Linked DNA regions of Ovis aries. The protein of the gene in region 2 purifies or fractionates together with the protein of the main gene of each other region. This does not show direct contact. Links are inferred from orthologs where the notes say so. Each region holds a gene or a part of one and is shown on either strand. Other genes may lie near its edges.

What was found. Proteins that work in one complex are often made in the same cells at the same time.
Region 1: the proteins of PRKCZ (region 2) and C1QBP purify together in Homo sapiens (affinity purification with mass spectrometry; 5 studies listed by BioGRID and IntAct, with this or other methods). This does not show direct contact. The link is inferred for Ovis aries from reciprocal best matches to the Homo sapiens genes PRKCZ and C1QBP.
Region 3: the proteins of PRKCZ (region 2) and CSNK2B purify together in Homo sapiens (affinity purification with western blotting; 3 studies listed by BioGRID and IntAct, with this or other methods). This does not show direct contact. The link is inferred for Ovis aries from reciprocal best matches to the Homo sapiens genes PRKCZ and CSNK2B.

What each region holds. Positions count from the first base shown.
Region 1 is NC_056064.1:25,995,121-26,005,588, reverse strand, and holds C1QBP (complement component 1 Q subcomponent-binding protein, mitochondrial), read right to left. Parts: upstream 6,195-10,468; 5' UTR 6,094-6,194; coding exon 5,871-6,093; intron 5,256-5,870; coding exon 5,105-5,255; intron 2,932-5,104; coding exon 2,835-2,931; intron 1,497-2,834; coding exon 1,107-1,496; coding exon of another isoform or gene 1,036-1,106; 3' UTR 920-1,035; coding exon of another isoform or gene 770-919; 3' UTR 521-769; downstream 1-520. Other genes in the region: RPAIN (RPA-interacting protein), read left to right, coding at 1-138.
Region 2 is NC_056065.1:49,910,874-49,921,160, forward strand, and holds part of PRKCZ (protein kinase C zeta type), read right to left. Parts: intron 7,291-10,287; coding exon 7,204-7,290; intron 5,869-7,203; coding exon 5,733-5,868; intron 5,556-5,732; coding exon 5,468-5,555; intron 4,412-5,467; coding exon 4,292-4,411; intron 3,252-4,291; coding exon 3,172-3,251; intron 2,825-3,171; coding exon 2,735-2,824; intron 304-2,734; coding exon 188-303; intron 1-187. UniProt on the Homo sapiens protein: Calcium- and diacylglycerol-independent serine/threonine-protein kinase that functions in phosphatidylinositol 3-kinase (PI3K) pathway and mitogen-activated protein (MAP) kinase cascade, and is involved in NF-kappa-B activation, mitogenic signaling, cell proliferation, cell polarity, inflammatory response and maintenance of long-term potentiation (LTP).
Region 3 is NC_056073.1:26,709,571-26,720,038, forward strand, and holds CSNK2B (casein kinase II subunit beta), read right to left. Parts: upstream 6,472-10,468; 5' UTR 6,347-6,471; intron 5,747-6,346; 5' UTR 5,736-5,746; coding exon 5,664-5,735; exon of another isoform or gene 4,947-5,663; coding exon 4,844-4,946; exon of another isoform or gene 4,336-4,843; coding exon 4,220-4,335; exon of another isoform or gene 3,773-4,219; coding exon 3,697-3,772; exon of another isoform or gene 3,561-3,696; coding exon 3,371-3,560; exon of another isoform or gene 2,916-3,370; coding exon 2,825-2,915; 3' UTR 2,685-2,824; downstream 1-2,684. Other genes in the region: LY6G5B (lymphocyte antigen 6 complex locus protein G5b), read right to left, coding at 847-1,250, 1,541-1,669, 1,802-1,862; GPANK1 (G patch domain and ankyrin repeat-containing protein 1), read left to right, coding at 8,071-8,675, 9,242-9,686. UniProt on the Homo sapiens protein: Regulatory subunit of casein kinase II/CK2.

The sequences.
Region 1 (10,468 bases), on a different chromosome or scaffold from region 2:
GTCACTGAGGGGACAGAGGAGAAGTCATGTCTTCTCATGAGCTGTCTGGTAAGCCTACCACGGGAGCCAGTAGTTGACAGTGGGTCAGCGGATGGTTTTATTCCCACCCTGGTAGAAAAGAGGAACTTAGTTGCATAGAAAAGTGATGTTATTTCAGTTAAAAGGCCAACCATCTCCTGAAGGGGGGAAGCACAGAGGCCACCCAGGTCGTGGAAGGAGCAGCTTAAGTGTCATTGCTATCGATGACTTTTAACCATATGCTGAGACTGTCTTTGTCACTGGAATAACTCTAACTCTTTTCTGTTTAAATCCAGGCTTGTGATACTTGGGCTGTGATCCTCTAGGGTCGGTCCCAGTCTTGATGCATGATCTACTGTGTTGGAAGAAAGTCCCATCTTGAGAAGTGGCCTTGTAAATACAAACCTTTTATTTATAACTTATTAAAACATTTCAGACTTTCCTCTGTTTCATGTTTTGTAATACAGGTTGAAAGGGAGGGTATAGAATTAGAAAAGACAAATCACCTTGGAGATTTTTATTGTCCATCATTATGTTATACAAAAATCCAGAAATAAAGGGTTTGTAGAGGATAAATGAATGGTAAATAAGAGACAACAGAAATAAGTTAAAAGTGAATTATTTTCCATGATATTGGGATTAAAAAAAAAAAATTTTTTTCAAAGCATGTGGGTCTGGCTTCAGAGTTAGGTTTTGTTCACTGGCCAAAGCCTGCCATAAAATTAAGGTGTTCAGCACCTTGCTGCCTGCTCTACTGGCTTTTGACAAAACCTTTGAGGTCTTCGAGGAAAGAAATGTACTCCTGGTGCTCCAGGGCTGTGCTGAGCTCCACCAATTCATCAGCAAAAGTGTTGTCCACCCCTCGGTCCGCAAGGAAATCCATTAGGTGGTCGTATAAGCCCTAGAAGGATCATTTACTAGTTAAAAAAACAGACAGACACCTGAGACACTTACTAGGATGCTTCTTTGTCTCTCCTTGGATTAGGTAGGCCCCTCCCCACCTTATCTAGCACTCACCCAATCCAGGGAATCTGTGTTGAGTGTGTAATTTGTGTCCTTCCAGTCAGACTCGCCGGTGGCCTGAAAACTCACTTCCTTGATGGAGAAAATGTCACTCTGGTCATCCTCTTGTCCAATCTGAAGAGAGACAGTATTTGGCGAAACAGAAAGGTTTTCCAGGACAAGCCAGACTCAGGCGAAGAAAAGGGATTATTTACAGCTTGAAACTCAGATTTTAACCTTGTTCCCTTACCTCCCACTAATCTTCCCAGCTTTGCTGCTCTAAGCCAGAAAATGTTAATATCAGCTAGATGGAACCAGGAAAGCCCCCTGGAGGCCCCCCACCACCGCCCCCCAGGCCGCCAGCTCTCCACCCTACACACCTCATCTTCTGGATAGTGGCAGTCCAGCACAAGGGCCTTGCTGCTGCCATCCTTTGTAACTTCAACCACAAAATTGGGAGTGGATGTCAATTCAGGCTAGGGAAATAAGAACAAGTCAGTAAATGTTGGCAAGGGTCTGGTGGCAGGGGTCTGGACTAAAGGTCTCAATTCAGGGGTCTGACGGCCACTGCTATTACGATATTACTTAGCCACTTACAAGTCTTGCTCCCCCGTCCCTGGGATTCTCCAGGCAATAACACTGGAGTGAGTTGCCATTTCCTTCTCCATTGCATGAAAGTGAAAAGTGAAAGTGAAGTCACTCAGTCAAGCCTGACTCTTAGGGACCCCATGGACTGCAGCCTACCAGGCTCCTCCATCCATGGGATTTTCCAGGCAAGAGTACTGGAGTGGGGTGCCATCGCCTTCTCCGACACTGCGCTAAGAGGTTCCCAAATAAGAAGCCTAGAATCTTTAACACAGTATTACAGCCACGTAACCCACTTGTTCAGAGACTGGGCCGAGTACATCCTGTCATTCCTTTCTAGCGTTATGGACTGTTTCGGAGGCAGAGTATCATAATTTAGTACAGCCTTTCACTTCTATTAGCACCCTGCTTGTTTAAAGAACATACAAGGTTCAGAAATAGGAACTCAGCTCTAGCCACATCTAGTGTGCCAGTTAATTTTCCTGGGTCAGTTTCTACATCTATACACTACAAAGCTGGCTCAAAACTCCAAAACCCCTTTCCAGATGTTTTGGGATCTTCATTACAGCCCAGGACCAAAGGCTGGTGCCTCTGACTAGAGGCCCAGAGGCGCTCTGAGAGCGAGCCAGCCAACCTCATGGATGGGTTGGGGGTGGTCTTTGTCAGGGGGGCTGGGCCAGCACTCCAGGGAGCTGAGCTGGGTGATGAGACAATACCATGCCCACCCAGCCAGAAAGTCTGGGGACCTGTGGCCCTCATACTGGCTGGTTTCTAGGCCAGGCACAAAGCTTCCTAAAATGTTCGAGGACTAAACACCATCCAGGTCCAACCAAGAAGGGCAGCAACTTAAGGAGAGGCCTTGCCAAAGTCTCTGATGCCCCTGGCTGGTGTTTATTACCAACTCGGGACATGTATTCCTCATGTGGAACACTCCAAATGATTTATCTCCTGATCATGAGAAGGGTTAAGACAGTTTAAATTCCTTCCTGTTAGGTGAACACCGGCCAAACTATAACGCTTAAGCCCACAGAAAACAATTCATTAACACTTGGCCCCTGGGAAAGAAAAGTGGCCACACAGTTCTGGTGCTCTGCAAGTAAAGGCCCAAGGATGGCTGCCTTTGCCCTCTCTCCTGGCGTTAGAATTTAAACAAAACAAAAACCAATGCTCCTTCCCTAAGCCTGTCAGAAATAGGTGGGTACAGGCTGGTTACAGTGTTAGAAACTTACCTCCTGCTCCTCAGCCTTCTGCCCTTGGGAGGGTTCTTCCTCCTCACCACCGAAAGCAGGTGGGATGCTATTGTTAATGTTGAAAGTGACAGTGATCCTAGAAAGGCAACCAAAGAGCACAATGAAGATGTCTTTTTAACTGAGTAGCTGAGTACTACGGCTTGCTACAGTTAAAAATGCTGTTGAAACAATGTATCTCAGCCGGCTTTACATCTGATTTGCCTGCATCCCATCCACAGTTGGATTCAGCAGGTCTGAAGTGGGCCTACTATGTGTTGGCTGCTGGAAGTCAATTAGGCACTATTTCCTCAGCCAAATACAGTTGTGTGTTGGTGCTTCTGCCATCAGGCCACTATCCGGGGCTCTCTGTCAACCTTATAGCCACAGTCAGCTGACACCGCCACTCTTGTCTTTCCAGGGCACCTCCCAGTGGTGGTGAGCAGCTGAGAAGCTGTGGGCATGGGCTAGAAGCCTCCTCTAAAACAATAAATGTACTTGGCTGCACAGGGTCTTGGTTGCGAGGTACGCATGACCATTGTTATGTATGGGATCGCTCAGTTGCTACATGCGAGATCTTAGTTCCCTGACCAGGGATTGAACCCAGGTCCTCTGCGCTGGGAGCAGACACTTTGACCACCACAAAGTTCCAAAAGCCTCCTTTAAGAAAATAAAATGTACTTGGCTGGGCTGGGTCTTGGTTGCGAGGTGCATGTGACCTTTGTTGCTATGTGTGGTATTTTAGTTCCCTGATCGGGGATTGAACCCAGGTCCCCTGCACTGGGAGAGGAGAGGTTTAACCACTGGACCACCACTAAGTCCCAGGAGCCTCCTTTAAAAATCTTCCTCCATTAGAAGAAAATCTGCCTGAGAGGAAGAGAAGGAGCACCGGAGGGTTGTGGCATCAGCTGAGGATGGAGAGTAGCCCTGGCCCCAGGAAGGGGAGGCCTCACAAAGGACACCACATAGAGGAGTTCTCTGGTGGGCCAGGGGTTAGGACTTGGTGTGTTCACTGCCATGGCCTGGGTTTGATCCCCGGTCAGGGAACTAAGATTCCCACAAGCAGTGTGGCAAAAAAAAAAAAAGAATATGCTGCTGGACAGTTTTATTCTTCAGAGCAGATGTAGGAAGTTTAATAAATGACAAGGCAGGCCACAAACACCACCTAATGACAATTTTAACTTGCAAGAATCTTCACCTGACATATCATATTCCAAAATTTGAACTGAAAATTGAGTGACACTTGGAACGAGCACTGCTAGGTTGCAGACAACGCTGCCCTCTGAAGCCATGGTAACTGGCACCTTGACAGACAGAAGTTTGATGTACAGGCACAAAATCTGTCTAAGCTGTGACAGTGTGGACCAAACTGACCCCTGGACAGAGAAATGCAGCTATGTTCAGCAGCACATTATAATGGTCCCAAACTGCCTATAACTTCGCCTAGGAGAGTGGTTTGGGTCACGTTACAGACCACACAATTGATCTATGACGGGGAAAGCACTACAATACTAGGCAAAAGCACCAGCCTGCTGCTTCACAGCGCATGCAAAACTTCAAAGTGGACCGTGGATTTAAAACAGCTTAAGCAGGCCAAAAGCATCCCTCTTTTCTAATGAAAAACTATACTGCAACCCCACCCTGTTAATTATCTTGCTTTCTCAACTGTAAACAGAACAGGGGCTTTATTTTCCTCAGCCAGAGCCTGAGGGTAGTAGACCCAGCAGAGTAAATCCGATTCTGTGGGCAGTGCCGGAATCTCTGAATTTGCATGCCTAGTTGTGGGCAAGGCACAGCCTCACTCACCAGGAAGGGCTCAGTGACTGCTGCCTCTACTGGTCCAGAAGACTCCCAGTGGCTTGGCTTCAGTGCTACTGGGGTGATGTTCAGGCACTCAGTCGTGTCTGACTCTGCAACCCCATGGACTCCCTGCCAGGCTCCTCTGTCCATTGGATTTTCCAGTCAAGAATACTGGAGTGGGTTGCCATTTCAGACTCACACCTCCTCCTTTGGCAGGTGGGTTCTGGACGCCAAGCCACTGGGGAACCCCGCTACTAGCTTACTGTCTCCTTGTTAACCACCACAGCACATTACTGTGCAGTGAATAAGCAAAAAGGAGCCTAAGAAGTTATCCAAACGAATCATACCATCTCTGGGAAACCAGGAGTCAGTTAAGCACCTGTCTTAACTAAAAGTTGTTGTGGATACCTCACAGCAGGTCCTGCAGGTTTATGGATGTGGTCCCCTGGGCTCCATAGGCCCCTGGTACTTACTTTTCTCCAGCAACTTTCCGCACTAATTTGGCTTCCGTCCCATTCACTTCCAATTCCCAACCTCCTGACATTTTGGGGAGAGACTTATATTTCTGTATCTTCTTTTCCTCCTTGATCTCATCGCTGAGGAAGTCAACGAAAGCTTTGTCTCCTACAATGGAAATAAGTTACAGAAAGAGCCAATTAGTCTAAAATGGAAAATGACCCCGTTACTACAAGCAAAGACCAGGACTTAGCCTGTTTTTTCCTAATACTTCTATTAATGGTGGCTCTGTGGACTTAGCCCAACTCATATCCATTAAACCTCAATTCCTTCATCTGTAAAAATGTAAGCTATCAGTGGGAAGCTGAGCATGGATTCTAGGAAAGTGATCCCGAATAATGAACTTCTCACGACGTTTCAAAATAAAGCAAAAAAAAAAAAAAAAAAAATCGCCACTACCCTTTCACTTGCCAAGAAACATCACGCTACTTCTAACCGCGACCTTGGGCTTTCGCAAAGTTCCATTTTCGAGAGACTGAGGTAAAGCCGGCCTCCAGGACTTTACAGTATCTATCCCCGCAGTCAAACAGGGGTGGGGGAGGACGGGAAATGTTACTACGCGTGGGTTTAACTAGCAGGTCGACCATCACTGGGAGAATGTTCCGGACCTCAGGAGCGGCTCCGGACTGTCCATTCAGGTGGTCTACACCTCCCAGCCCCTAACACCCCGCCCCACCTAGGCCCACGCCCCTCACGCCCCCGGCCCACGTGCATGAGTCTCACCTTCGGTGTGCAGTCCGCTACAGCCGCAGCCGCAAGCGCAGGGCCCCCGAGGCTTCAGGAGGCCGGGCAGCTGAACCGACCCCGCGCGCACGCTCAGCAGCCCGAAGGGCCGGGCGCATGGCCGGGACGCGGGCTGCAGAAGCGGCAGGGAGGGTGCGGCGGCGCGGAGACCAGCGACGGCAGAACCCAGGACGCGGGGCACGCAGCGCAGCAGCTGGAACATTTTGGCAGCGGAGGCGGTGGCGAACACGTGCAGATTCGAAATACAACTCTCGCTTAGAAGGACAACTCCTTGCCGCTGCGCCCCCTAGATCTGGGACCGCCGCCGGAAGTCCCGCCCCACAGCCGGGAAGTGCTTCCGCGCCGCCGCCTTGCAGACCAGAAGGCACAGTGGGCAGGACCCTGCCCTCTGCTGGTGGCCTCCGGTGTAGCCTCCCAGGGAGGCTTGGAATCTGATTCCTAAACTTTAGTTCTGCAGCAACAGGAATCTTCAGGAACTAAAGAAGTTTAGGAATCCTGAAATGGGAAATCAAGTGGGCCTTAGGAAGCATCACTACGAACAAAGCTAGTGGAGGGGATGGAATTTCAAATCCTGAAAGATGATGCTATGAAAGTGCTGCACTCAATATGCTAGCAAATTTGGAAAACTCAGCAGTGGCCACCGGACTGGAAAAGCTGTTTTCATTCCAGTCCCAAAGAATGTTCAAACTACTGCACAACTGCACTCACCTCACACGCTAGCAAAGGAATGCTCAAAATTCTCCAAGCCAGGCTTCAACAGTATGTGAACTATGAACTTCCAGATGTTCAAGCTGGATTTAGAAAAGGCAGAGGAACCAGAGATCAAATTGCCAACATCCGCTGGATCATGGAAAAAGCAAGAGAGTTCCAGAAAAACATCTACTTTTGCTTTATTGACTACACCAAAGCCTTTGACTATGTGGATCACAACAAACTGTGGAAAATTCTGAGAGATGGGAATACCAGACCACCTTACCTGTCTCTGAGAAATCTGTATGCAGGTCAAGAAGCAACAGTTAGACCTGGACATGGAACAACAGACTTGTTCCAAATTGGGAAAGGAGTAAGTCAAGGCTGTATATTGTCACCCTGCTTATTTAACTTCTATGCAGAGTACATCGTGCGAAATGCGGGCTGGATGAAGCACAAGCTGGAATCAAGATTGCCAGGAGAAATATCAATAACCTCAGATATGCAGATGACACCACCCTTATGGCAGAAGGTGAAGAACTAAAGAGCCTCTTGATGAAAGTGGAAAGGAGAGTGAAAAATTTGCCTTAAAACTCAACATTCAGAAAACAAAGATCATGGCATCTGGTCCCATCACTTCATGGCAAATAGATGGGGAAACAATGGAAACAGTGAGACTTTATCTTCTTGGGCTCCAAAATCACTGCAGATGGTGACTGCAGCCATGAAATTAAAAGACGTTTGCTTCTTGGAAGAAAAACTATGACCAATCTAGATAGCATGTTAAAAAACAGAGACATTGCTTTGCCTACAAAGGTCCATCTAGTCAAAGCTATGGTTTTTCCAGTAGTCATGTATGGATGTGAGAGTTGGACTATAAAGAAAGGTGAGTGCCGAAGAATTGATGCTTTTAAACTGTGGTGTTGGAGAAGACTCTTGAGAGTCCTTTGGACTGCAAGATCAAACCAGTCCATCCTAAAGGAAATCAGTCCTGAATATTCATTGGAAGGACTGATGCTGAAGCTGAAACTCCAATACTCTGGCCACTTGATGCAGAGTTCTTTTCATTGGAAAAGACCCTGACGCTGGGAAAGACTGAAGGCAGGAGGAGAAGGGGATGAGATGACAGAGGATGAGATGGTTGGATGGCATCACTGACTTGATGGACATGAGTTTGAGTAAGCTTTGGGAGTTGGCGATGGACAGGGAAGCCTGCCGTGCGTCCATGGGGTCGCAAAGAGTCAAACATGACTGAGCAACTGAAATGAAACTTCTTTAGCTGAGTGGCTCTGAGTCTGGTGTCCCAGGACTGCTGTTTAATTGGCTTCTCTCCAAACTTCCATCTACTGTTCTCAAGCATGACCAGGCTTTCTGTGACTTCGTGGAATGCACTCTTGCTGTCTTTGACTCCCAAAACCAGCCTCTGAGGTCATCTCCCATGAAAGGCCTTCCTGGCTCTTCCTCCTCTTCCCTGAAAAACCAGAACTCATGCCTCTGTGACCGGGTCCCTGTACTTCATTCTTTTCTCAGCAGAAACCTCCTGGCATTGCTCGTTTACCTGGCAGCTGCCCCTTACCCCCTGGAGCTCCTGAAGGCAAAATGCCTGGTTAACTTTTGCAGCCCTCCAACCTTACACCTAGGTTCTGATGGAACATTATTTTGGGGGGGCAAGAAGCCACGGCTTACATTATATTTAGGTTAAGAACCAATGTTCCTACTTTACCAGGAACCATAATATACTATAAGGTACCAAGAAAATAAATCTTTCCAAATCAGTGGCAAAGATATGACTAATATTAATATAATCTAAACAGCATTCTGTGAATAAGGGAAAGGAGACCCAAGAAAGAAGCCACACACAATATGTACTAGATTCACTTTTAATGGGTTTGAGTCATGTGCGAATGTTGATGCTTCTACAGACCTATGCCTGTGTGAGTAAGAAAAGAGTCTCAAAACACAACATAAATCTGAACTGAGCTTTTTCCTGAAAGTTATAATATTCTGATCAAATAAAACATAATAAAACTCTTGCTTCCCCACAGGTGCAGTGTTTCTTTATAGTCACAAGGAATGGTATCTTAAATGCCTGGCCACAGGTTTCCTTGAGAGCTGAATTAAATGGATTTAGGCATCACAGTATAAAATCAGTTCTTTCCACAGAGCACAAGCTTGTCTCCTTTCTGGCATCTCTTTATTCCTAGCAGAGATGCAACATTAAGGAAAGGTTTCTACCAAGAACTGGGTGTTGGGCAGTTCTTCCCCTAGTAAATGGGATCTGTGCTGCCCTCCATGATTATTAGAAGCAGAAGCCAAACATCTGAGACATGCAATCTGCTTAGTGCATCTATTTATTAACATACAAAGGTGCTCAAGGGAACTAGTGATTCACCCAGATATGGAATTCACAAGTTGGAAAAATAAAAAGGGGGCACACCATCAGAGATTTTAGGGATTGAAAAGAGTAGCTCAAGATGAGATTGCAACATCACTGTGAAACATTTAACTTTCTTAGAAAGTTTAAAGTGTACTTATCTGTGCCCTGCAGCTAGGTATAAAGAGCCATGTATCTCTTTGTAGTAACATGGAGCAGGGATAGGCTTTTCCAAATCATTTAATCCCTGAGCAGCTACCTGAAAAGTTAACTTTTTAAAAAGCCTGATAAGAACTACTGTATCAAAACTCTACCAGAATGTTACAGTGATAAATATATCTTTGTACAGAAACACAGAAGCTATTTACATTTATTTAGAAGCTATTTACCCCTTACTCCTGCTCAGAAAAAATACATTTCCTGAAACAGTTCAGCAACTCTGAGGCCCACAAAAATGATTAAAAGCTAAATTTTACTTGCTCTAGAAAATGCTGTGCTTAGTTAATTAGTTGTGCCTGATTCTTTATGATCCCATGGATTGTAACCTGCCAGGCTCCTCTGTCCATGGGGATTCTCTAGGCCAGAATACTGGAGTGGGTTGCCATGCCTTCCTCCAGGGGATCTTCTCAACCCAAGGGTCGAGCCCAGGTCTCCGACATGGCAGGAAGATTCTTTACTGTCTGAGCCCCCATAATTTGCAACATTACAAGAAACATAATACATCACCCCACTCCCAATATTTTTTACCAGTGTGATGAATGTTTCATTAAAAATACAGTAATTTCTTTTACCAAGTCAGGCTACACCTCCTAGGACTCTTAAATAAGTGAGAAAAATACAGTTAAATTTTTTCCTGAAAAACTTTTCGGAAAGTCAGCACTGGTAAGAACAAGAAAAATCTAAGAATTTAGTAAGACAGGGTATTTAGGATCTGTCGAATCTTCTTTGGCCTTAACGTAACTATTTTTAACAGGAAGAATTCATACGTGCCCAGATATCTGGGAATACTGGCTAAAGTCTGACTGCTCAGACCCATAGCTGGTGCTGAGGCACACCTGACACACGCCACTGTGGACACATGAGGGCTGGGAGGGGGTGTTCCTATCCACCAGGGTCTCACTGAACCAAAATGAAGACACCATCCATTATCTCTGAAGGATCTCTCAGGCCATTTAGGCCTCTGCTTAAAAGCTGTATGATTCACTGTATGTAATGACCAGAATACTACATATGCGCTGAGACCAATTAAGCACAATAAAAGGGCTAATTTTGGCATTTTCCAGGCCAAAGCATTCTCTGGGGAAAGTCTCAGGTTTGATTCCTGGGTCGGGAAGATCCCCTGGAGGAGGAAATGGCAACCCACTCCAGTATTCTTGCCTGGGAAATCCTATGGACAGAGGAGCCTGGAGGGCCACAGCACATGGAGTTGCAAAGAGTCAGACACGACTTAGCTATTAAACAATGACGATTTTCAAATTAAATAGTTAAGAAGGACTTTTGGTCTTTTCCCTTC
Region 2 (10,287 bases):
GGCTCGGTGGGCGTGTTCAAGACCCGGCCCTGTCTCGCACCGCAGCTAAGGACGCCCCACCCCTGCATGGGATTCCTCCTCCCAGCAGTTCAGGACGCCCTGCCTCCACCTGGGACTCTTCCTCCCCGCCCCTGCAGCTTGACTGACCCTGCAGCTCAACCCCACCCCACCGTAGTGCAGGCCTTACTCATCGTCAGGAGTCAGCTGCACCGGCTCGCTGGTGAACTGCGTATCAAAGTTGTCCAGGCCATAGTCGTCCGTGATCTGCGGCTGGAAGGGCGGGAGGGCCTGCTTCTTCCCCAGCTGCAGGAAGATACAGTCAGAGCCACTTGCGCCGACTCAGCGCTTTGCAAACTCAAACCACAGAATCAAACAGAAGAAATGGTGCTTAAGTATATACGCCTCGTTTGATGGCCAATTGTTGCTCTCTAAAGTGTAGGAGAAATTTCCGCCGAAGTCAGAAAAACTCTACTTGAGCTGAAAAGTGCTGGCAGCACAGGCCATGAGAGACATACCCCACGCCATCGAGGGCCTGCAACCCTGCTCCTTAAACCAATGGAGGCTGGCTTAGGGAGCTTTAATCTTGGAACCCCAGTGGTAAGAGAGCTGGGGCTTGGTAGGGATACCTGTGTTCCACTGGGACCCCTCCTCCCGAGACGCCTTAAGTGGCCATTTCTAGTATTCCTAGACTAGTATTCCTGATTAGTATTCCTAATCCCAAAGGGATGCACTTGTCATCTTGGGGGTTGAGACATGGTGGTGTCTGGAGAGGGTGGAGTCACATGGAGGAGGTGGAGCAACTCAAGAGTGGCTCCAATCACTGAGGGGGGGGCATGGGCCCCCAGGTTCACACACTCTTTACCTCCTCTCCCCTCCCTCCACCAGGTGTCTGCTGCACACGGGTGCTGGGCCAGGCCTGCTCCTCAGACCTCAGAGAGAGCCACACTGAGGCATGGGGGTGCCTGCCTGGAGGGACCGTCCCCGTCACAAGGGAATCTGGAGCCAGAGGATAGCCAGCCCTCTAGTTGAACCACTGTGCTCTCACAGCCGGGACAGCTTGATTCAGGGGGTGGATGACCTCGGCCTTTCAGGACTGGCTGCTGCCTTCCCTTGGAGGGTCCTGAGTGAGCCAGCCTGGAAACTCCCACCTGGGTGAGGCCTCCATGTGACCGGGTTGGAGACATGGTCCAAGGTCCCGTGTAGGGAGACAGCTCCAGCCAAGTCAGAAATAAGCCTCCAGTCCACCTCAGCTCATACCCTGTCTTTGCACTGTGGGGTCAGGGCCCTTAGGAACACCACTTATGGCAACAAAAGCAAACTGGGCCCGGAAAGTTGAAACAGGTCCCATAACTTTGGGGGATTTGGGAAGCTGAACACACAGGTTCTGCTAACGAAGTTGGTGCAAGAAGTGAGAGTGTCACAGAGATGAATCCCCCAGTCACGCCCGGTAGTGTCAAGGCTGCAGCCAGCACACCCAGGCCACCTGGAGAGGCACGCTTATCTCTGTCACCCAGGGGATGCAGGAGGGGGGTGCGGAACAGAGGGGATGGGCTGATCCCACTGGCAGAAGGGGGCTACCAGTGTGTGTATGTGCATGTGTGCAGGTGCCCACATGCCCATGTGCACGCTGCGATCCCAGGGCCCCGGGAGCTGGTGGGCATGGCCACACCCTGGACACTCTTCTGGGGACATAAGGCCTTCCCTTCTCCCTCAGCCTTCTGTCAGGCAAGTTTCCATATTCTTGTTAGCATGAAATATATTCAGATAAAAAGGGGAAAAAGAAACATTTCTCTTGTACTATTTTCCCTACTTTAGGTCTCAGGCTGCTTTAAAAAGATTTAAATAGCAAGTCAGAACAGACCATGAGGAAAATGCAGCCAGGTGCTGGCCCGGGGTCTTCCAAGGCCACCCCCCATCCCTAACCTAAGAGCCTCATGGCTGCTCAGCACCTGCCCCTACCCCCACCCACTCCCCGGGAATGTCACACACAGTGTCACCTCCTCTGCTCTCAGTGACAAGCAGTGAACTGGAACGGTGCTGCCCTAGAGCGACGTCCCAGAGTCCCGCCACTTAGCCCTGAGGTGTGACGGGAAAGAGGAGGCCCAAAGGGGCTGGGAGTGAGCGTGCTGAGGTAGTCTGAAGGAGGTGGTGGGTGGAGGTTGGGAGGGGCAGAGCTGTGTCATTGCCCTGAGGCAGGAGTGGGCCTGGCAGCGAGGGACTCCTAAAGGCCCAGTGGAGGAGGCGGCTGCTGGCAGGGCCCACGCAGGAAACGGGGGACTGTCCAGGATGTGGGCAGCTCAGACCCAGGTAGCAGCATTGGGGTGGGAGAAGGCCCAGACCCAGAAGGTTGAGTCCCCAGGACTGGGTGGGTCAAGGGCCACTGTGGGGGGAAGGACCACAGCACACCTGGGTGTCTAGTTGGGACTAGCTAGATGGTTAAGTGAAGTATCTGTGAGCTGACTCAGGGCGTGGACATGGAGCTCAATCAATGGGTGTATGGCTGTGCTCATCCACACAAACACATCCCCACAGGACACCCAGCACAGCATGAATTGGACGCCCCAGCAAGGCTGCTCTCAGGACCTTCAGGAAGCACTGCCCCCAGGGCCTCATCACAGCCCGCCTCCTTGTTTTCAATCAGTGTTTCCCAATGCATCCCCATTTCCACCCATCCTGCCCCCTGGAGGTCCCTCCCCAACCCGCGGAGGTGGGTATCCGGTTCCAATCACTTTACCAGGTCCCAGTCTATACTGCGGAAGAAGGCATGAGACTTGATATCGGAAAATCCAGTCTGCGGCCGGCAGCCAAGCCTCTCCTTGGGGTCCTGGTGTGTCAGAGTTCAAATGAGGACAAGTCAGCACAGAGCAGGGCAGCCCTACTCAGTAGCGGGTCTTAAACAGCACCAACAAACCACCCATGGCCGGCCCCCCACCCAGGTGAAACTGCTTCCTCCCAGCGGGTTAAGCTCCTTCAGGAAATGCCTCTTCGGCATAATTTCTCCTCATTAGCTTTTGTCAAGGTGAATAAGCAGCCACAGGACTAAGGAAGGAAGCAGAGTCACACCCACGTCCAGCACTAAACTAGCAGACCAGGTGGTAAAGCCTCAACCTCAGTAGCTGAGGAAGGGCTGCGGCCATGGCCACTGGGGTGCCACGGGGGCCACAAGCGTACCTTGTTTAAAAATCCTTTCAACACGTGGGAGGCCTTGACGGACAGGAACCGGGGGATCCGGATGGGCTTCTCCAGGATGACTGCAGGACCGGAGGAGAGAGTTGTTCCTTCTCCTGGCCCTCCTCCAGCTCCCCCTCTTCGACCCTAGCCTGTCAGCTCTTCCCAGCAGCCTGCAGGGCACTGGAAACCTTTTCTGGGCAGGAGGGTCATGGCAGTCACGGTGGCCTGGGCCTCTTCCTGCACCCCAGCAAGGTCTCCAGGCCTCAGAGGCCCTGGTGCCCACGATCAGGCATGCTATGATCAGGGATGAACCAATGGCAGCTCAGCTGGTCCTGTGTCCCCATGTCCACAGGCGCAAGACAACACTGTGGGACACCTTCCCCACATCCACAGGCACAAGAGGGCACCATGGGACAGCCTCCCCACGTCCACAGGCACAGGAGGTCACTGTGGGACAGCCTCCCCACGTCCACAGGCGCAGGAGGGCACCGTGGGACAGCCTCCCCACGTCCACAGGCGCAGGAGGGCACCGTGGGACAGCCTCCCCACGTCCACAGGCGCAGGAGGGCACCGTGGGACAGCCTCCCCACGTCCACAGGCGCAGGAGGGCACCGTGGGACAGCCTCCCCACGTCCACAGGCGCAGGAGGGCACCGTGGGACAGCCTCCCCACGTCCACAGGCGCAGGAGGGCACCGTGGGACAGCCTCCCCACGTCCACAGGCGCAGGAGGGCACCGTGGGACAGCCTCCCCATGTCCACAGGCGCAAGAGAGCACTGTGGGGACAGCCTGGGCCAGCATCCTGGGGGCAGTCAGTTCTGTTCCAGGGGCCCAGATGGCAAGAAGCTGAGGCTGAGCACAGCCCCCGTCGGGACTCAGGTGCATACTGGAGGTGGGGAGAAGGGGGCCTGGGCCAAATCAGGACAGATTCTTTCCTGTGGATGTGAAAGAGCAGTATCCCCCTGCCCACTATACTTTGCTCCCTGAGAGCCAGTAGTGGACAAGTGGCCCCACCTAGTCTGTGGCAGCCACGGCAACCAATCAGGAGACTCTTTCACCCCCACTTCTAAAAGGGGAAAACCCGCAGGGCATGGAGGGAACGGGACATATGGCCCACGCACCTTGGAAAAGGTAGTCTTCAGTGTTCATGTCAGGGTTGTCAGTGATGATGTCAAAGGGGGAGCGGCCTGCCATCATCTCGAACATCAGCACGCCCAGCGCCCACCAGTCCACGCTGAACCCTGAGGGATAGCCAGGCTGGTCAGGCCAGAACTCTCCATTTGTGCTATCCAGTCACAGGGCAACAGCTGTGACCTGGACCTGGACCACAGCTGAGGCTGGGTGTCCCCAGCATCTCCCAGGTGGCCTGGCCTCCACTCTGTCCATTGTCCTGGCAGTTGCAAAGCTGTCTTCATGTCAAGGAAGCCCAGGGACAGCCAGCCACCCCCGATGTCCAAAGGTGTGCAGCTCTGTCACACACAGGACCCCCATCCTGGGAAGGCTATAGACTCTGCTTTGGACTACGGCTGCTGTCCATCCTCGTTTGGTTACTAAGTGACTTCAATCGTACTGGCCTCCCGGGTGCCCAGGGATCGGAGGGGGAGAGAACCTGCTCGCCCTGCTACCCCCCAATTTCAATGGCAAAGAAAATATGTGGAAATATTTGAAAGAGTATTTGTGATGGGAAAACAGCAGAACCCCAAAACGCAGAGGGTGTGCATCTCATTTTCATTTCACATCCAGAAAGTGTGTGGACGCACTCCAGTGTCACAGGGGCTGTGGGTGGTTCTGGTGGGTTTGGGGAACCCACACTTATGGGCGGCACCAGTGGCGTGGGACCTCTGCTTGGGGCCTGTCTTTGCATTGTGTTCTCCTTCCCAAGCCTTTCAGGCTCCTTGACCAGAGGGATCCTGTCCAGTGACCTCCCCAGGGCACACTCAGGTGAACACATGGGACAATAGCTGGGACTGAGGCCAGGTGATGACCTGGGGCTGGACAAAGTAAGGGTGTGTGTTTTAGTGCAATTTAGTCAGGAAACCCTCTTCTTGGCAGCTGGGTCAGCTCCCCAGAGACCCTGGTGAGGACCCTGGCAGGGTTAGCCCCACTAGGACTGCCTCCTTCCCTCTCTGCTCCATCAGAGTCTCCGGCAGAGGCAGCTCCCAGGGCTCAGGGTGTCCTCGTCCACTCCCGCCTCAGATCCAAGTCCCTGGGCAAAGGAGGGGCCCAGGGCTCGGGGTGTCTGGGTGTCATGGCCCACTCCAGACTCAGAGCCGAGTGCCTGTCCCACCCATGCTTACCATACTCTTCTCCCCGCAGGATTTCGGGGGCAATGTAGTTCGGGGTTCCACAGAAAGTGCTTGTTGTATCACCAGGGCCCAGGCCTTCCTGTGAGGACAAAGCCAATTACCAGGAGGGAGGGCATGCCCAGATACGCCCCCACTAGTGGGAGGACTGTGGTCACGTGGAGGTGCCAGAGACCAGGCATGGGTGAGACGGAGTGGGTGCCAGGCTGGCCACGACCCTGGGAGGCGGGCGGGCGGGAGCAGTGGGCGGGATGCTCACCTTGCACATGCCGTAGTCCGTCAGCTTGATGTGGCCGTCGGCGTCAAGGAGGACATTGTCCAGCTTCAGGTCCCGGTAGATAATCCCTCTCTCGTGTAGGAAGTTGAGTGCGATACAAATCTCAGCAGCATAGAACCTGGGGAAGGGGCAACACCTGTCATCAGCAGAGAGAACCCAACCAGGAACCTGGATAGGAGGACACAAGACGTTGGAATTCTCCACTGATGAACTCATGGGCCAATAAGACTGGGCAAGACAGGTGGGCCCACAGGACCGGGAAAGACAGGCAGCATCCCCATGGTCAGGGAGACACAACCCAAACCTACCATGAGATACCACCTCACACCTACCAAGACAGCCACTATACAACGGGCCCCCCATCCCCTCGAACAGAAAATGACAAGTGCTGTCAAGGATGTGGAGAAACTGCAACCCTCATGCACTGCTGGTTGGGATGAAAATGGTGCAGCTGCTGTGGAAAATAGCTTGGAAGGTCCTCAAAACATTAAAAATAGAATTATCATGTGACCCAGCAATTCCACGTCTGTGAATAACTCGAAATAATTGAAAACAGGGGCTCAAATGGGTATTTGTACCCCCTTGTTCACAGCAGCTAAATCATGGAAGCAACCCAAGTGTTCATCGAAAGATAAGGATAAAATGCGGTCCATTCCTGTGATAGAATAGGATCCAGCCTTGAAAAGGGAGGAGGTGCCGACACTGACACCTGCTCCAACGTGGATGGACCTTAGGCCATGACACAGAGTGAAACAAACCAGATGCAGGAGGATGCATCCTATGGGCTTCCACTTCTCTGAGGTCCCTGGAGGCGTCAGAGTCACAGAGACAAAGTAGGGGTGTGTGGATTGTGGGAGGGGATGTGGAACGAGTGTTTTACGGGGACAGAGTTTCGGTACAGGAAGAGGAAAAAGTCCTGGTGATGAAAGTACTGGAGACCAAGGTCCTGGAGATGGTGGTCGGCATGGCTGCATAGCACCGTGAATGTGCTCGATGCCGCTGACCGTGCACTTAAAAATGGTTGAGGTGGAAATTTTATGTTATGCAAATTTTTCACAATTAAAAAAGGAGAACATGAGCGTGTGGGGTTCTTGATTTATTACTTGCCTCTCCCCAAAAAGGACCTATGGTGACTCACAGTGCCACATGGAATTATTTTTAAGTGAGGAAATGAGGAAAAGGGAAAAAAGTATGGGAAAACAGGAAAGAGATGTGTATGGGGTGGAAATAAACGCCCCACCCACCTGTGAGGTCGAGGCTGTGGGGGGTGGGTGTAGTGGGGCGGGGGCAACGTGGTCACTGTCCCTGAGAATCATTTAGTAACAGAGATCATTCTGCGGAGGCCAGATGGCATCACTGTGTACACTGTGCGCCGAGGGTCAGGACCAAGGCCGGGTCACTCCCAGGACCCTCCAGGCTGTGGCCTGCCCTCCCCTGCCCCAGCTGCACCCACCTGGCGTGCTCCTCTGGCAGCTTCCTCTGCCTCTGCATGTGGAACATGAGGTCGCCCCCGTTGACATACTCGATGACCAGGAACAACCTGCAGGACACACAGGCTGGGGTCACCCTTGTCCTGAGAGGCCCAGGCAGGCAGCAACCAGGCCATCCAACTCTGGGGTCAGTGGCAGGAGCCCCTCAGCTCTGATCCTGATGAAATAAAACTTGAGAGAGAAACTCTCGTCCACCACTCAAATCATTCAACAGTTATTTACTCTCCCAATGATGCCTTTAGAGGGCTTCCCTGGTGACTCATGGTAAAGAATCCACCTGCAATGCGGGAGACCTGGGTTCGATCCCTGGGTTGGGAAGATCCCCTGGAGAAGGGAACTGTTACCCACTCTAGTATTCTGACCTGCAGAATTCCATGGACAGAAGAGCCTTGGCAAGCTACAGTCCATGGGGCTGCAAAGAGTCAGACACGACTGAGTGACTTTCACTTTTCACTTTCAATGATGCCTGGCCTGCCTTTGGGGTAAAAATGTAAAAATAAGGCAGGGCCCGTTGGCCGGGGGCTCACTGGGGCTGGGAGGGTGCTATGTGGCTGGTTGCTGTGGGAGGCCTCCCCAGGGAGCAGAGGCCTGGATGGTGCATACGGAGAGGTGGAGGAAGGCAGAGCTGAGGGACCACCCTGCAAGTACAGGGGCCCAACTCAGCTGGAGAAGCCAGAAGGCCGGGTGCACCAGCTGGGGGATGCCAGTGACCCTCTGGCCACTGTCTGGGTGGACCTGGGGCAGGGAGATGGGCAGGCTGAAGGAGAGGAGGTGCTCAGCCTCCTGGTGTGGCTGGCCTGGAGGGCCTGAGGCAGAGCCCACAAAATGGCCAGTGGTGTAGGCAGTCGGGAGGGGAAAGGCTCGGTGGAACCACGGGAGGGTCCCGTGCACCCCTCCTGTGGGACCCACCCCAAGCTGCCTGCAGGTCCAGAGGAAGAGGGCAGAACATGCTGACTTGGCCACTGGGAATCTGCAAAGCTACCGGCCTCCCAGAGGAGGGTGGGGTTGCTGGCTGGAGGGGCCTGTGATTGACAGGCCTCTAGAAGGGTGGGGGTGCTGGTGGGAGAGGCCTGTGATTGACAGGCCCATCCTCTGGAGGCAGGCAGGGTTCTTCAGGTCCCCAAACAATTTACCTTGTGGTTTCTTTCCTTGATAGGATCCTCCTCACATTTAATAAGGTTCTATTTTCAAAACTAAATTCACACATGATTTCCCTGAAATGCCCTGCTGAGGCCAGCTTATGGATTTTTAGGTCAACAGTTCCTCTGGGTATGGAGGGGGGTGGCTTTCAGAGAGTTGAGAACACAGAGGGAGCCCCTCTGAGCACTGGCAGCCCGTCTGCATCACTGGTGCGATGATGGTGATGCCCCACACGTGGAGCATGTGAACAAGCTACAGACCGCCCACCAAGCCTCTGATCACATATTTACACGAGAAACAGTTCCTAAACGCATACAGCAGACATGGAGACTGAGGGCTGAGTACTGGGGGAGCAGCCAGAGCTTTCCATGTGGTCCTGCAGGGCAGTACAGCTCTCATACTTGGAGAGGGCCCAGTGACCCTGACCCTGACACTGGGCGGTCTGCACTGTAGCTGTTTTACTCACACATTTGCCGGTGGTTGCTTTCACGCTATAACAGAGGTGAGAGACGGAAAAGGCTTGCCGATGTGGCACAAACAGGACAAGGATGGCTGCACAGCCCCCACAGACCTTCGCACGCTGTTCCAACATGTGTGCACATTGAACCCTGGCAGCCACCCTGGGGGAAGGTGCTCAAGCCCTGGGGAGAGGCCCAAGCCCTCGCCACTAAAAAACAAGAGCATTTATTCAGAACACTGTGACTTCAAACAACAGAACAAAATTTGCCACAGTGATCAGGGACAGCGCTGCCCCAGGAGATGTATCCACCCTATGTAGATATTCCCCAGGGAACGGATGGTGGCCGCCCACATGGACAGAAAGAAGTGCCATCTTGGCACTGGAGACAGACACCAACATGAGGCCTCGGGGAGCAGAAGAGATGTTTAAAAACCGAGAAAAGTAGCAGCAATGGTGGCTTGCTTTCTGGATCTGGAGGAAAGCCTATAACAGGGCTTTCAACAGAAGCCACGTGACTGGAGTGAACACGGAGGCACACTTGGCTAATCTGTGACTGCTAACTGGGGCCCCGGGTCTCAGGTAAGTCGCTGATCAAGGAATTCATTTAATCTGCAATACTGATCAGCTATAACAACAGAGCAGAGTGGTTATTTTTATTTTTTTTGGCCATGCCATGTGGCACATGGGTTCCCAGTTCCCTGATATCTTTTTCCTTCTACAGATAGACATTACCACTACTTCTGACATTTTAAAAAAATGTAGATTGCAGTCTAGTTGACTTACAATGTTGTCTTAGTTTAGGTGTACTACCCTCAACATTTCTTTGGAGCAAACCCCTCAAGAGCCACCAGGGGCTGATTCACTCCGATGATGACACTTCAAGTGACTAAGATAAGCTGGCTGCTGTGACAAACACCCCAATGTCCATGGCCGAGCACAGCCAAGGGCCCGTCTCCCGGCTCCACATCTGGCTCTGCCCATGAGCCCCAGATTGCATAGCTTGGTTGGCACATGTGTGATGCCAGGAAAGGAAAGAAGCCTCCCTCAGGGCCGAGACAGCAGGTCACGTTTCCTTAGTACTTAACTAAATGTGCAAAATATAGTAAAAACTCGCAAAACAGGATTAATCAAGAGCTGAAGACAGAAAGGGGTGTAAACACCACAGTCCACTCCTGGGCCAGAGACCAGGGCAGGAGCCAGGCTGCAGAATAGGGGCCAGAGATGCTACCCACCTGACCCCTCACCCAGGATAAACCTGGAATGCTGGCCACTCTGAGGGTTGAGGGTGCCAGGGGGCAGGAGGGGACCACCTGAGACACTTTCCTCATCTCAGGGCCAAGTCAGGCCAGCCTCCCTGCCCTATGGGGTAGATCACCAGCCTCACTCAGAGGGGACCCAGATGACAGTGCTGAGATCAAGAGTAATGCCACCAGCATCTGACCGCAAC
Region 3 (10,468 bases), on a different chromosome or scaffold from region 2:
AGCAGAGGGTGGGATGGATGTGGGCTGTTTGAGGCAGGCCATTGAGGAAGCCACAAGGCCAAGTGTAGTGGGCAGGGCTCTGCAATGCTGTTTGAACCCCACGCCCAGTTACCTTTAACTTGTCTACACCTGACCACACCTGACCCTGCCCCCATCAAAAACATGACAAGGACTCTGGGCAGTTTGTTTATTGTGGAGGAGGACTAGGGAGTGCAGAACAAGGGACAGACCCCCTCCTCTCCCTGGGAATCTGTGCAAGTGGGTGTCATGGCTCAGGGATGTGAAGCGGAGCTGAGGAAGCCAGAGACTGGGAAAAGAGATGAGAGCAGGCAGCTGACCAGGCAGGAGCATGGCGGGTAGACAGTGAAGGAGGGGCGCCACAGTGCTCAGTCAGGAAACCTGCACGAAGTCCAGCTCTCACCCTTTCTGATGCAAGTTCAGTCTGGCACAGACTGAACTAGCTAGGTATAGCAGAGTGGAAACAGCCAGACTGAGAGAGATCAGGAAGATGGGGGGTGGGGTGGGGGTGATGGGACATTCAGTTAACAGGACAGTGTCGAGAAAACCATTGTGCCTTTACCCAGGTCAGCCTAGGCAGAATCCGCATTTGAGATTATATTCTAGGTGGTCGAAGGGCTCTGGGTACACTGCCAACTGCTTTTTTCGGGGAGGAGACGAGACCAAAACCATACGGACACCGGAAGGACAAAGGAAAGGCAAAAGAAAGGAAGACTGAGAACTTACAGACCCAAGAGTGGGAGTGTTCTGAGAAGACAATGCATGATGCTGGGGTGCCAGGAGTGAGACGCTAGACCAGACAGAAATCTATCTGCGCAGGGAAAGATGTCAGGGACCAGCCCAGGGAAGAGTCAAAAGTCCAGAACTGTTGAGGAACAGGTATATGCTGCGCAGGTCAGCAATGGACAAACTCAGATTCACGGGTGGGCCAGCCAGGGGGTCCAGGCCTTCAGAAGGCTCCTCCCCAGCAGGGAAGCTGGGCAGGGGCAGTGACAGGTTCAGGGTTTGGTAGAACCACAGGATCTGGGACTGAGACAGGGGCAGAGCCAGGGACCTGTCAGGGGGCTCAGGCAAGGCACTCTGGAGCTGGGGACTGTACCAGGAGTTGCAGTAGTCATACTGGCAGCACTGGGCCGAGTACCAGTACTCTGAGATGTAGGTGGGGAGGTTTTCTTGGCAGCGGTAGGAATTGTGTTGTCCACAGCCTCGGATTAAGAAGCGAGCTTTGTTCTCTAGAGAAGAAGGGACAACTAATAACCCTTGTTGCCTCCCACAGTCACCAGAACTGGTACCCCTTTCACAGACCTGCCCATCCCTCACCTAGACCCAATTTCCTTTCCAGACTCCTGCAGAAGAGGCCAGAAGAAATTAGCTTAATCGGCTCCCCAGAACTCCAGACCCCTCCCCTACCAGAAACCTCCATCTCCTTAGACCTCAGGCCCCAAGCAGCCCTCATTTACAAGAGGAGACAATGCCATAGGCTGTCCTGCCAGTGGCCCCTTCCCTGCCTGACTCAACTCACCATGGTTGATGCTGATCACCATGCACGGGGATGAGCTGCTGATAGTGCACTTCTCTGAGCCTGAAATGCATCCTACAGCAGGATTTTCTAAGAGGCAGAGGTGGCAGGTCCGGACTTCAGAAACAGGAGCTGGGGAAGCGGAAGACACGGATGGTGGTGTTGGCCCACTCCAAGTTCCCTGCCTTGCAACATCCCGCTCATCCACCGCCACCCTCTCCCTGTACTCAGCCACCCCTCCTGCCCTGCCCCTGCTCCACTTACCCTTTCCCACCGTGAAGCCCACCATGACCAGTGCACCTATAAGCATGTGGGCCTTCATCATGGACTTCTGGGGAGAGGGGCATTCCCCGAGGGGTGCCTAGAAACCCCGTGACCACACTCCTCGAGCCTGAACTGCAAGGTGGTTTTGACAGGTAGTCTGGGCAGGAGCTGCTGTAGGTACAAAGCTATACTCCTCCCTGGGGCAGGAAGCAATTAGCTTGGCAGGAGAACATGTCCTCACCCACCTGGTCTGGTTCCTGAATGTGGGAGCGGCAGCCCAGACAGGTGCAATATCTGGGCCCCAATCCAGCAGTCTACTTTTGTCCTGAGTGTCCCTCAAAGATCTGTTCCTGCCCCTCCAGGGTCCATGGATTAGTTTCATTCTCTGGTACCATCTGCCATCCTCCCTACACAACAGGGCCAGTCCCTATTGTTCTGGGAGAAACTTTAACCAGGAACCCAGTGACCTTCATCCTTCTGAGATGAGCATGTCTCAGCTTCCCCAGGAGGGGGCACATAGACACAAAACAGCAAATTCTGGACCTTGAACCTCTTCTCCCCACCCCTTACAGTTCAGTTTATTTTGGGACCACTTTCTTTATAAAACTCAAAGTGATGTTGATTACATCCCCTAAACAGCCAACTGCAGGCAACACAAAAAGAGCAAATATTTCTCCAGTCTTTGAAATCCGATTTCTGTCTTTGCCTCGTGATCTCCGTACATCCCTACACCCAGTCCTAAAAACATCACCCAAATCTACTGGGTACAAATCTGTGCTGGTTTTCCACTTGAAGAGAGTGGGCTGAGCCAGGAGGGCTCCTGGGGCCCAGCATACCATTACCCGTGCTTCCCCAACCCCAAACACCAGCCAATCAGCCCATGGCCTTTTCTTCCACTTTATTTCATATTCCCACCACAATAATGACTCCTTTAATTTAAACTAAAAACCATAGAGGGTTCCTGAAATTGTGGCAGCAAAGGAATGAAAGTGTCAAAGACCGAGGGACAGGTGGGGTGGGGAATCAGCGAATCGTCTTCACTGGGCTCTTGAAGTTGCTGGCGGCTTGGAGCTGCAGCTGGTAAGCCATTGGATGGATCTTGAAACCGTAAAGCCTGGGTTGGGGCAGAGGTGAGAGAGGAAGCACAGTGAGCCCCATCCTGGCCTGCCAGTGGCCTGCATTCCCCCCTACCCCAGTTTCTTCATGGGCCTGCTCAGTACTTCAAGGCAGCGGTTCCCCAACTTCTCCCTTTAAGAATATTTGGAAATGTATTTTAAATATCTATTAAAACTCAAATTCAAAGCTACAAATATGTGTCTGTACATATATACATGAGTATATACATGGCAGTACTTGTTTTAATATAAAAGCTGAACTTTCTTTTTCTACACCAGAGCAAAAATGATACTGCAGGAAGATCATACACTTCAACCGTGGCTCTGAGAATTTCCTAGCGAAAGTTGAGCACACAAAATGGCAGCAAGGCTAGCTACTGCCTCATCCTCCCTTCTTTCTGGGGGATCCAAGGCACTTCTTTCGACCCTTGGTGACTCTGTCCCTGCTCCCCACCTGGGCACAAACTGGTTGGCGGGCCTCTTGGGCCGGTACTCGGGGTGCACCATGAAGAGCATGTGAGGGAAACCGGTGCCGAAGTAGGCGCCATCCGTGTGGTGGTGCCTCGATGACTTGGGTGTGTACACGTCCATGCACTTGGGGCAGTAGAGCTTCACCATGGCCTCACCTGGGATGTCTGAAAGGCCTGGGAGACAGCCAGACTCAGCAGGCCAGGTTACCCAAGCCTGCCCAACCTCCCTCCTGGACTCAGGCCCCAACCTGCTGAGCCCCAACTCCATCCCAGCCTGCCATGGCCCTCCTTTCCCTTTCCCAACACTCACCGATGGGAAGCATTGGCTGGTTCTCACAGTACACACGGGGACAGTATCCAAAGTCTCCCTGCTGGTACTTTTCCAACTGATGTGAATGAAATTGAAGGAGTTGGTGGGTAGGTATGAAGAAAAGAGGCAACCCCCTCCTCAGCCCAATCCACATCACTGTGTCCCCAACTCCTTCTGCCTCTTAATGTCCAGAGGCCCCTTCTCTGGCTCAGATGGGCCTTCAGACTCCCCTGCTTCCTTTCATCCAGTCAGGCAGTCTGAAGATCATCAGACATTCACTGCTTATTCCCTGAGGAAGAGGCAGTCTACAACTTTCTGCTCTAGGTCACATCTCCCTCCCCCAAAACACTCCCTTCACCTCAACCCTCAATCAGGTCTTAACCCCTAGGCCCAGATTCTGGGGTTCTTTCCCCTCTTCTCAGCTAGATTCCGTGACAAGGCTGAAACGAGTGACTTCTTGCTGATGGAAACTCTGCTTCCCTGTTGCCTCTGAAGGAACCGAGTAGGAGTAGAGAGGCCTCACCATCTGGGCGATGCCACGGTTGGTGAGGATATAGCGGGCGTGGATCAATCCATAGAGCATTTCGGCTGCTTGCTCAATCAGGTCACTCTGGTTGGGGTTGTCTTCCAGCTCCTCATCTGAAACATGGCACCAGCCAAATGCAACCACTTGTCTTACAACTTTTTAAGGTGCCCTGCCTACTCCCAGGGGCTGCTGGCTCTTCAGCCCAGCACCCAACTTGGAGCCTCACCCCACCCACAGCCTGGGCCTCTGCCCCTTCCACCAACCCAAGGGTTTCTTTCCATCCCTCTCAGCCTCTGCTTCCTTCTCTTTTTTAATAAATAAATGCAAAGATGTCAACACAGAAGATAGAACTCTAACCTGGAAGGGGCAAGGAAGAAGATAACACCCATGGAGAAACTAGCATTTTCGATAAGTGCTAAGTTATAGGATCAGAGTATGAGAACAAGTGTAGAAGTCACAAAATTAGGCAAGAGTGAGGTATGGAATCAAAATGAAGTAAAGGATTTGGGGTTAAAAGGGTTAGAGAACCAAAAGGAAATTTAGAAATTCATGAAGCAGATAAACAAGGTGTGAATAGGAAAAAAACAGCACACACACAAAACAACCCTGAGGGTGTCTCACCAGGCTCCAGGTCCAAGATCATGTCTAAAGCTTGTCGATAGTGAGGCACCTGTTCATTGAGTCCAGTGAGATTGAATTTGTCCTGGATATAGTCTTCATCCACCTGTCAGGACGTGAAGTCAAAAGGAAACCCAAAGCAGAATCCTCAGCTTTGACCTGGGCAGGGTGCTCTAACTCGTGCCTTATCTTCAACACAACTGCTTCATTCCCTTTGTTCCACACTCCCAACTCAGCAGAAGTACTTGAACCTCTCTCCCTAGTTCGTGTATACTGCCCACCCAGAAGAGGTCTGGCTTTTTTCTCCTAAACATAAGCAATCCCCTCCTTACAGAGGCAGTCCTTTCAAGATCCCTGTCCTGATTCCTGTTCCTAGCTCTAGGAATCAGTTTTGGCCTCTCCTGAGGGGCAGCTGGCTCTCTGAGGAAGGTGGGGGCTGAACAGCTTGGATTCTGAAGTCAGTTACACTCCCTTATGTTAACACACAGCCATGCTATAAAACATTTTAACGTGAAGTGTTTTAATTCTCCTAATAGCTACCAGAAATACATACTATCAGTACTTCCCTGGTAAAAAAAAAAAAAAAAAAAAAAAACAACACAGGTTGACAAGTCCAACATTAGGCTGTTGGAGGGTGGCAGGGTTGACTTGGGGTCTCAGTCTTGACCCTTCACCACAAGTTAGAGAGCGCTACTAAGGAGACTCCTCCTTGACAAGAGTTTTTACTAAAGTATGTAAGAGAAGTGTGTGGAAGCTTTATGTGCAGGAGATTATGTGGCCAGATTACATGTGGAGGTGGATGGTAGGGTTGAGGAGAACTCACCTCACAGAAGAATTCATTGCCACGGAGCCCACAGAACCAAGAAATCCAGGACACCTCCTCTGAGCTGCTCATCTTCACGTCGGCTAGAGACAGAAGAGTATAAGCCTAAGCTCTCCCTCCCAACCTCTGGTATCCTCACTCCTCCCACACTTTGCCCTCAAACCATGGAAGAATTTGGGGCTACCCTTTTCTTAAAGAACCCGAGACTGGAGCACGTCTCTCTAGCTCCTCTTATTTACATTCCAGCCCCTTTTCACTGAGATTACATAGAGAAATTCTTCGGGGTCCACCAGCTGTGAGAAACCGACAGGTCTTGACCCCACTAGTCCTACCTCCATCCCTGACGCTCCTGAAAGCCAGGCCCCTCTCTCCTCCGTGTCAACTCCGGTAGGGCCGTGGCTCAAGCTCCCTACCCCCGCAAGTCTCTGGCCCCATTCTCAAGGGTTCCGAAGTTTATCCTTTCCAAGCAAGAGCTGGGCCCTCCTTTTCTCATGGCCTATAGGTGGTGGTCAGGTCCGTTTCATAGAAGTCCCGACATCCCGCCTCCACCCTTCGGGCCACCTCTCCTACCCTCGGTGCCGGACCGGGTCATTTCCTTTCCCACCCCCACATCAAGACGCGGAGACCCCATGTGCCGCGCCCAGGGACAGGGGACATGGCGCGGCGACGACCACCACACTCACCGACTGGACGGGGACTGGGACCGGGGGACGGGGAGGGGAAGGGGAGTTTCTGCTTCCAAAGACCGCGACGACGGCTACAACGCAGGCCGCGGACCCGACCGCGGCAGGCGAAGTGGGGTGGGGGGAGTGGAAACTGGGGAGGGTGGGGAAGAGGGCAACGCGCAAGTGCTTAGAGTTAGGAGCCGCGGTGCATGCCGGGAAATGGAGTCCTTGGGAAGAAGAAACTGACGAAACTAGGGAAAAGCGAACTACAAATCCCAGGATGACCCGCGCACGACCCTGGTGTCACGAGGCCCCGGGGGAGGGGTACGCTGGGGGCGGGGCGCAGCAGGGCACTGCGAGCCGCCACCGGAAGCGGAAACTCAGTACCGCGTTCTGGGCCAGGTAGCCTGGGAAATATAGTCGTGTGATTCCGGGGACTGCAGGGCCATGGAGGGGAGGGGGTGGGCCGGGAGAGGAACTAGGCTGGCTGGTTGCTTCTTGCTTCTCCCATCAAACAGCGAGCCTCAGGCCTCGGCGAGACTTTGCTGCCCGGGGCATTGACCTCATCCCCAGCCAGCCAGCCCTCCTGGCCCTTATTGCCTTGCTCCTTGGAGTCAGCCCGCCAAGGAGACCCGCGACGGGGCCCTTGTTTCATCCGGGGTTCGCGCAGCGGAGGCGGGAGGTGAGGCCGGGTTCCATGCTGAGGGTCCTGGGTAGGGTGTACTGGGATGAGCTGAGCGGTGTGAGAACCAGGACGGCCCCGTGGGCTAACCTGAGGTGGTGCCAGCCATTCTGCTGCTTGTCCCCTTGCACTTCTCCATTTCCTCTTAGGGCTTGAACGGGGCTGCTGTGGGCGCTAAATGCGACCTTCGAACCCTGGTCAGAGTAATGGTGAGGGGCTGCGTGACGTTATTTCATTTCAGGGTTTCTGGGCATTCTCCGCCTCAGAGCCTTTTTTAACCCTGAGAGTGATTTCCCAGGTCCAGAAAATGAGCTCGGAGCGGGGGCCACGTTGAGGGAGGAGGCGAAGGGCATTGTGGGGGCGTTATGTAAAAACAGAACCCCAACCGACGGATCTTTCTCAGTCCTCGCGCTGCCCCGGCACGTGGTGCGTTGTGCTTCTGCTATGGAAACATTCCAGGGCGGGAAAAACCCGGCGCTAGCGCGCGCCTGCACCCTCAGGTGTTTTGTTTTGTTTTGTTTTGTTTCCCCGGCCACGCATGCGTCTTTGTGCCCTGTGATTATTTGTCGACTCCTTTGCTTAGAGTAGCGCCATTTTGCAGTACGGAAGCTATAAAGCGACACAGACTGGAACCTCTTCCTGAAAGCTGCTTCCTGCTTCCGGAGACGTGTCGCGTTTGTTTTTGTTTGGGAAGAACTTACCCTGAAATAGGAAGATTTAAAGAGCCAATTTGATTGTTTTTCTTAATGGTATGTTTTACGCTGTGATAAAGTTGTCTCAGAGAGGCTGGTATTGTTGGTGCGGATGGAGGTAGGGGCGGAGCGCACGGTCTGGGCAACTGTCTTACGGAGACTTCTTTCTTACCTTTATTGAGGGGCATTGTCTGTTACTGACCCTACAGGGTCCCAGGTTGTGGGGTCACTTTTGGGTTGGGAGGGGATTTTTGACGCTAAGGATACTTTTTGTTTATCTCATTAGGTGTCTGGAACTGGCTCTGGTCGCTGCAGGACCACCAGGGGCTTGGCTTCCTAGTCTCATTTTCCTAGATTTCCCAAAAGCCATGTCTGGGTCTTCCCTCATTAACTTTACCCCAGCCACTGATTCCAGTGATCTGTGGAAAGATGGGCAGCTGCAATCACAGCCTGAAGAGCTGGAGCCCATCCTGGAGGGGGCTGCAGCCCGGGCTTTTTACGAAGCCTTAATTGAAGATGAGAGCAGCACCCCTGAAACCCAGAGAGCTCAGCCTGGGCCTGCCAGGAAGAGGAAGAAAAGAAGAATGACGAGGGAGACTGCAGCAGGAGCAGCAGGAGGACATGGACAAAGGAGATCCCTTGACACAAAGGACAAGACGACCCAGCAGATACTGAGGGCAGCCCAGGAGGGGGACCTGGCAAAACTAAAAAGGCTGTTGGATCCCCGTGAGGCAGGGGGAGCTGGAGGGAATATCAATGCTCGGGATGCTTTCTGGTGGACCCCTCTGATGTGTGCCGCCCGAGCAGGCCAGGGGGCAGCTGTGCGCTATCTCCTGGGCCGTGGGGCTGCCTGGGTAGGGGTCTGTGAGCTGGGGGGCAGAGATGCTGCTCAGTTGGCTGAAGAAGCAGGTTTCCCTGAGGTGGCCCGCATGGTCAGAGAGAGCCCTGGAGAGACAAGGAGTCCAGAGAACCGGTGAGGGAAGCCTTATCTTTTAATATTGTTTAAACTTTTAAATCTATTTTTGTTTTATTGAAGCATAATTCAAGTATATAAATTACATATGTACAATATAGCAATTCAGGATTTTTTAAAGTGATATTCTGTTTATAGTCATTGTAAAATATCTGCTAAATTTCTGTGTTGTACACACTCTCTGGGTTTAAATCCTGATTGTACTTCTTGGGCAAGCAACCTAGCGTCCATGTGGCTCAGTTTTCCTATCTAAGAAATTAGACTATACTTCTTATAGGGTTGTTAGGGTTAATTAAATGGGTTAATATACATAAAATACTAGAACAGTGCTTGTATTTAATAGCATAGTAAGCACTGTACAAATGTTAACTATAGTAATTATTATTTCCCACCCAAGAACGTTGTGAGGCCTTAACCATTCCTTCAGGTCCACTGTTGCTAACTGGGAAGGAAAGACAATTTGTTTCTTGGCAGAGATACTGGAAGGACCTTGTCCCACCCTGCCACCCACCTCTGAGGCCTAAACCCTTGTGTTACCCTTAACCTTTCTCTTTTTTTCTCTCCAGGTCCCGATCCCCCTCCCCCCAGTACTGTGAGACTTGTGATGCCCACTTTCAAGACTCTAACCACTGTACATCCACTGCTCACCTGCTGTCGCTGTCCCGGGATCTCCGGCCCCCCATCCTACCACTTGGGGTCTCTACCTCCAGCCCAGGCTTCAAGCTGCTGCTGAGGGGGGGCTGGGAGCCTGGAATGGGGCTAGGACCCCGGGGTGAGGGCCGTGCCAACCCTATCCCCACTGTCCTCAAGAGGGACCAGGAGGGGTTAGGCTACAGACCAGCACCTCAGCCCCGAGTTACACATTTCCCAGCTCGGGATATACGGGCAGTGGCTGGGAGGGAGAGAGCCCCTAGGGTGACCACACTGAACCGCAGGGAGGAGAAAAGGCAGGAAGAGAAGGACAAGGCCTGGGAGCGGGATCTGCGGACATACATGAACCTCGAGTTCTGACTTGGGCAAGTTCTGACCTTGGTGTGTTGCTGAAGTCTGAACTTGGGCCCCGAACTTAGACACTTGGGCTTCTACTTCCTGATGTCTGCCCAGGTTCCACACCTTCTGGTTTTGATTAGTGGACTCTGCCTTCAGTAGAAAGAAGCCAAAAGTTGAGAAATAAAATCAAGCTTTTCTCCGTCTTGGTGTTTTATTCACTTCTGGAAGCTGTTGCAGGGAAGCCAAATGAGACGGGACCACATGAAATTCTACCAGAACCAGAAGAGGCAGCTCCTCTACGTGGCCTGATAGGGTTGCCTCTGCCAGTCTGGTTCACTTCTAGTCCCCAGCCACTGCCCTTAGTGCCCCATCTATTTTCAACCCCTGAACCAGGAATTACCCATCTCTATGCAAGTCTATGCAGAGCTTCCCTGGTGGCTCAGATGGTAAAGAGTCTGCCAGCAATTCAGGAGACCCAGGCTTGATCCCTGGGTTGGAAGATCCCCGCAAGAAGGAAATGGCAACCCAGTCCAGTGTTCTAGCCTGGAGAACCCCATGGACAGAGAAGCCTGGTGGGCTACGTTCATGGGGTCGCCAAGAGTCAGGCATGATTGAGCGACTAACACTTTCATGCAAGTTTGACCTCCCACAGAAAGCACCCTCTGTCCACTCTAGCCAATTCAATCACTGATTTCACAAGTTTGTATACTATGTGCTATGAATGGGAATGAGACAAGCCCAATCTTAAGGCTGCTCGCACCTGTAGGAGACACGATGTGATAAAAAGAATGCATGGTGATGGG